2 linked regions of the Kluyveromyces lactis genome follow. The protein of the gene in region 1 interacts with the protein of each later gene in a pairwise test. Links are inferred from orthologs where the notes say so. Each region holds a gene or a part of one and is shown on either strand. Other genes may lie near its edges. The genes, in order: HGH1 and CNS1.

Region 1 (3,408 bases):
TCGATATCATTCGTAAGAATGTTGTTGAATATTCAAAACACAAATTTGCCTCCAATGTTGTTGAAAAGTCAGTAGTTTACGGATCCAAAAACCAGATAAGACAGATTTTGGATCAAATTCTACCAAGAGACGAAGAGCACGCCGCTGATTTGGAAGATAATGCACCATTGATTCTAATGATGCGGGATCAATACGCGAACTACGTTGTTCAAAAGCTCGTGGGTGTCGCAACTGGTGAAGATGAGAGGTTGATTGTTATTTCCATCAGATCCTATTTGGATAAATCCAATAAAAATAACACTTTGGGTAACAGGCATTTGGCTAGTGTTGAAAAGTTAGCAACTTTGGTGGAAAAAATTCAGATATAGATGTATGTCAGCCTCAACTTGGGAAAGCAAGACAAAAAAAATTGTTCTGCCTCGAATATTTGCATTTGATAACCACGCTTTCTTTCCCTAATAACTGGTTCACTTTCTAAATCATTCTATTGATGAAGATTGCCATTTCTTACGTTTTGTATCCCCGTGATATCTCTCACGAAGATCTTAATATCTTCTAAAATCTGTTGTTGAGAACAGATTACTACCTAATAAATTAATATCCTTTAAATGTACATATTGTTTATCATCATCCTGTTTATAATACATGCAAATATTTATCTCTGCTATAAGTTTTAATGACCATAATATTATAGTACTTCTAGAATCCTAATGGTGATATCGTTCAGATGAAATCAACCCGTTAATGCAAAATGTGTCATATGCGTTACCTGACCAAAGTGAACGCTAACGTCCAAGTCATGACAAACCCAGCTAGCTCGCGGAATAGATTTTTAACCCATATTTTATGCACTGGATTAGTAAAATATAGACTAGGCTTGAATTTGCAAAACCACGCTATAAATATGAGGTTCACCAGGATATAAACAGCAAAAAACATTCCAAAACCTGCAAAAGATTGAAGTTGCAATATCCCAGCACTAAGTCCTGCTGTCAGCATTGTAGAATCCTGTATCCGTAGTAGTTTGTTGTTGTTGAAACTTCCACTTTTGGAAGACTTTAGGTCGGTGAAGCGATAACTCATTTTCCAATGCTGTTATCTCGTAGTTATGATTGCAATTGGTTGCAATAAGCCAAGACTAGAATAAAAGTGATTTATTATGATAAATGCAGCACTTAAGGATCAATCGAATCGCAGATTGAAAAGCTCTGTTTCTAACGGTGGTTCTATTCATTTAATTGAAGATGGAGATCTGTTATTGTCGGTTTGATGCTGATGTAATTGTTACCCGCCTTAAAGAGTCGAACCTTTTCTTTCACGAAACTTGAGAAACGTTTGACAAACTCATCGCAGCTCATCGCATCAACCATATCTACGTTGGCAGTTGGTGTAACTAGGTATTGTTCACCAGCTAATCAACTATAACTTTCATTGTTCAATAAAACATCTTTGTTCGAAATATCTGCGTTTACTTGATACGATAAAGAGGGAAGATGTCCACGGAATTAGAAGAATTAGTGTCATTTTTGCATTCAGACCAGCCTGCCGTCAGACAGATTGCTCTTGATAATCTGGTTGGCTTCTCAACTGGAGCAAGTGCTGTCATTTTCAAATGTAATAATTACAAAGCTATAGAGGATCTAAAAGTTCTAGCTAAAGATAAGTCAAAAGTTATCGTTCAACAATCCACTACGATTTTAGCGAATTTATGTGATGATGTTACTATGAGAAAGTTGATCGTCAAGGATACTGAATTCCTACAGTACTTATCGTGGAAAATCTGTGATTTAGCTAACGCAAGTGCGGATATCATGTGTATTTTATTGTCTAATCTCGCCAAGGAAGACAATATTACCGAATTGTTTTCGTTTGTTAAGAAGGAAGACGATGGTATTCCATTAAACATAGAAGTCTTTAAAAGCAACAAAGTAATGGATTGCTTAATGGATTGTTTTGTGAAGGGTTACGATAGAAAGTTGAACAGATATGCCACTTATGACTACTTAGCTTATTTCTTTGCCGACATTTCGAGATTTAAGATTGGTAGAGAGTATTTCATTGAACAGCAGGAGTATGACGGCGTCATCCCAATTTCTAAACTATTGGTATTCACTGAAAAGTATGATGCTAAAACCAGAAGAGAAGGTGTGGCTTATACCATCAAGAATTCGTTATTTGATTCCGAAAAGCATGAAAACCTTTTGACTAATGAGGAAATCAATCTTTTACCTTATATTCTTCTACCGATTGCATCAGCTAAAGACTCCGAAATTGATGAAGAAGATATGTTCAATCTACCGGATGAATTGCAACTCTTACCTGCCGACAAAGAGAGAGATCCTATTCCTGAAATCATATGTGTGCATTTAGAAAGTATTTTATTGCTTTGTACCACTAAAGCCGGCAGAGAATACTTAAGATCGAAATCAGTATACCCATTGGTCAGAGAGTTACATAAAAATATTGGAAATGACGATATCGGTGAATTATCTCATAGAATTGTTAACATGTTGATGAGAGGTGAGCCGGAGAATCAAGTGATAGAAGAAATCGTGGCCAAATCTGCGGAAGATGGCGAAATAGCCGAGATAGAAGAAGAAGAAGAAGAAGAAGAGTCCGACGATGATGACGATGCTATCGTCGAAGTTTTATAAATGATAACTTCCTATAGATATCTTGTTTTCAAATAACATATATTTATTTTAAGCGTACTTATTGTTAATAAACTGACTATATCAATATGCTATTTCCTGCCCCTTCCAATTGGACCCAGGTGATATATATCAATTATCACTACATGTATATCTCCAGAGGTTTGAAAACGAGGAAATTATGTTAACTACTTACTCAATTCGAGGAATTTACCGTTCAGTTTAACAAGTTTCTTGACAAAAACCTTCATTCTTTCTTTATTGTCAGGATGTCTACCGACCTTTTCTTTCAATTGTCTGATTAATTGTTTCAAAGTCAACTGCTTGCCCTCAATTGCATTGATTATATCGTCTTCCGTTAACAAATCATCTGCCGAGTGATCAGACTTTGCCCTCTTATTGTCCATAGATTCTTGTGGCTGAGACTCTGCTGGACGTTTCTTCAAGTTTGGATTCCAGGCTCCTGCAGGGAAGTTCGATAATACTGATTTCTCACCAGTTAGTACAACGATATTTTGATTAATGCTTTTTACTACTAATTTTGGTGGACCTGATGGTGTGTCAGAAGCTTTCTTCTTTGGTGAGGATCTCCGACTTTGCTTTTCATTATCCTTCTCGGAATCTTTCTTATCCGAATCAGCTTGCTCTTCATCTTCCTCAGAGTGTGATAGATATGGGTTCTCTTCTGCATCAGATTCATATAAAGCACCCAGATCTGTTTTAAGGAGGGCTTTCTTGACTTTTTCACCTTCTTCGT
Region 2 (3,230 bases), on another chromosome or scaffold:
ATTTCATCTGTCGAAGATCGTTTCAACAATAAGTTTAATTATCCATGGATCTTCCTAAACGATGAACCATTTACCGAAGAGTTCAAAGAACGTATCTCTGCCATTGTTCCAAACTCTCAATTCGGTGTTATACCGAAGGAACACTGGTCATACCCAGATTATGTTTCTAAAGAACGTGCAGCTCAAACTAGAATTGACATGCAGGATATAATCTACGGTGCTTCCGAGAGTTATCGTCACATGTGTCGCTTTCAATCGGGGTTCTTTTTCCAACATCCATTATTAGCCGAGTTCGATTGGTACTGGCGTGTCGAACCAAGTACCGAATTGCTATGCTCCATCGATTATGATATCTTCCAACAGATGCAGGATAAAGACTTAGGTCTCGGATTCGTCATTTCTATCCATGAATTTGTCATCACAATCCCAACTTTATGGAACACTACTCGTGGGTTCGCAGAAAAACATTCAGAATACATCCATAACGACAATTTGTTGAAGTTCATATCCGATGATGGTGGTGATAGTTATAACTTGTGTCATTTCTGGTCGAATTTCGAAGTCGCCAACCTAAATTTCTACAGATCAAAAGCATACACGGACTATTTCGATTATCTTGATCGCTCAGGTGGATTCTTCTACGAACGCTGGGGTGATGCTCCCGTACATTCAATTGCTGCATCGCTTTTCTTGCCTCGCAACAAATTGCACTTTTTCCAAGATATTGGATATCATCACCCTCCATACAACAATTGTCCGTTCGACAGCGGAATTAGAGCCAAGGGTAAATGTTACTGTGACCCAAAAACCGATTTCACATTCAGGGATTACGCTTGTGGTATTCAATATTACGAGGCCCAAGGCATTGAAAAACCCTTTAATTGGAAAGATTATAGTGGCCGAGGCTATTGATATGGAATCTCACCTGGCCACCATCCACACTTATCATATTAATTCTCCCCTTCCCCCCATTCCCCACGATACTGATAGAACAATACAATTTGGGGCGCATACAGTTTTTTAAACTTTAGTACTCACTCTTATTTATTTGATTACTTGCCAGTATATAATCTGGTAATATTACCGGGTGTTGTAATGGACACCACCATTCACTAAATCACGTGGTTTGTTGATCTTTTTCTCGACTCGCCAAGAGAGCTTTGACACAGAATTTTACAAGTTCTAGGAAAAAAATCTCATCTCATCTCATCGAGCGGAAAGTGACTGTTCAAAAAAGCCAGTTACTCTGTCTCCACAGCTTCTGATAACGCACTTGGTATAGTCAAATTCCTGCCTGATTCACATCGTCAGAAATTTAACATTATCTGTATTATCTGAAGGGTTTAAAAGGAGGATATCTACTAAGGCCTGCTCACAATGGAAAAACCAAAGAGGTATGTTCCAGGTCCAAATGACCCACTTTTACCACCACAACTATCTGAGTTCCAAAATAAAACCACTGATGAGGTATTGGAGGAGTTAAATAAGATGCCATTTTTTATGAACAAACTTGACCCAGATGAAAGCAATGTAGAGTTGGAAGCCTTAAAAGCCATGGCCTATGAAGGTGAGCCCCATGAAATTGCAACTAATTTCAAGAATCAAGGGAACGATCTTTACAAGGGTAAGAGGTTTAAGGATGCAAGGGCTATGTATTTGAAAGCTTTGGATGTTAAATGTGATGTACTATCTATCAATGAATCTTTGTATTTGAATTTGGCTGCTTGCGAGCTTGAAATTAAAAACTATAGAAGTTGTATCAATTACTGTAGGGAGGCACTCAAACTAAATGCAAAAAACGTTAAGGCATTTTTCAGAATAGGTAAGGCTTATCTCGAATTGGGAAGGTTCGAAGATTCTCTCGAGGCCGTTCAAGTTGGGCTTGCCGTGGATCCTGAAAATGGGGCATTAAAATCCATCCAGTCCAAAGCTACTGAAAAGCTTAAACGTAAAAAGGAGCTGGAGAATCGTACTTTAGCTCAAAAACAGAAGGAAAAGGAACTCCAAGAGTTTTTGGATCTGGCAGTACAAATAAGAAACATAACGCTAGTTGATACCAAACAACCAGCAGGTCTTTTGAAAGATACTAAACTCACATTGGAAAACCCAACAGATTTCGAATCACAATTAATATTTCCAGCTATGGTTCTTTATCCGACTACGGACGAGTTTGACTTTATCGCGTCTGTTTCTGAACTATCCACACCAAATGACCTTCTTGATGTTGTACTTAACAGACCGGCAGAATGGTTTGCACAACCAGGGCACAAAGATTTTACTGCATCTAAACTTCATGCATACATGGAAACTCTGTCTGGAGGCTTGATCAAGATTGGTAAAAAAGTTACCTTCCATGATGTTTTGAAGATGGAGAAGCCTAAGGCTCCTCTTTTCGATAAGTCTCTAAGAGTATACTTTGTACCAAAAACGGAGGCACAAGGATGGCTAGATAACTGGGATAAGAATGCAGCAATAATGAAACGATTGTAGATATTACAGACACTAGATATTGCATTATATAGACACGTCACTATGAATTAAGGTAATTTACCTTTTCTTAAGTTTTTGTAGTCTTGAAGTGCTAGTTTGAAAGATCTCATCGATATGTAGCGGTGGAATGGGGCCTAATATTTGCTCTATATCCCAATTTTGTTGCAACAACAATTGTTGCTTTAGTTTTTCTGGCTCAGCCCACGAAGTCAGTGTCCGCTCTACTTGGTTATTACCTTCATCATCAGAAATGATTTCAGGTAAAGTAACATCGTTGGAAGTTCTTTCCGTTTTTGGTGGTGCGCCGATATATTCCCTATAATCAACTGTATTGATATCATGTAACATGGAATTTGTACTGGCAGATTTAGAGAGTGGCGGTAATGTTGCGTTGTTACGATCTAAAAGAATCTTTGTTCTTCTTTTAGTATCCTCATCTGCCTGAGAAATCCTCCTCTGTTGGAGTTCATACTTTTTCCGCATTTGTTGCTCTTGCTGGTTACGCATCACTTCACTCAACCGCTTATTCAATTTTTGCTTTAGCGTGTCTTTCTCTTGTTTGTTGCTTGAACTGCCAGTAATTAGCTGGAATCTGGTCAATCTATCGTGCGAATTGGTTCTTTGATCAGATGATGTAGGAGAGATAGACGTTGATTTATGAGTGGATAACTGTGGTATTACAGGAGGCTGCGATACTTCCTCTGGAAGCTGCTTCTTAGCACGAATGTTGTTGGTTTCAT

The links.
Region 2: the proteins of HGH1 (region 1) and CNS1 interact in binary tests that used the Saccharomyces cerevisiae proteins (3 or more experiments, as listed by UniProt). The link is inferred for Kluyveromyces lactis from reciprocal best matches to the Saccharomyces cerevisiae genes HGH1 and CNS1.

Annotation. Positions count from the first base shown.
Region 1 is NC_006042.1:1,426,083-1,429,490, reverse strand, and holds HGH1 (Hgh1p), read left to right. Parts: upstream 1-1,493; coding exon 1,494-2,654; downstream 2,655-3,408. Other genes in the region: mRNA-binding protein PUF3, read left to right, coding at 1-368; EMC6 (Emc6p), read right to left, coding at 766-1,083; transcription factor IIF subunit TFG1, read right to left, coding at 2,840-3,408.
Region 2 is NC_006038.1:872,020-875,249, reverse strand, and holds CNS1 (HSP70/90 family co-chaperone CNS1), read left to right. Parts: upstream 1-1,377; coding exon 1,378-2,490; downstream 2,491-3,230. Other genes in the region: KLLA0_B09988g (glycosyltransferase family 15 protein), read left to right, coding at 1-912; SLI15 (Sli15p), read right to left, coding at 2,548-3,230. UniProt on the Saccharomyces cerevisiae protein: Co-chaperone that binds to the molecular chaperones Hsp90 (HSC82 and HSP82) and Hsp70 (SSA1). Stimulates SSA1 ATPase activity, but not Hsp90 ATPase activity. Involved in only a subset of Hsp90 functions.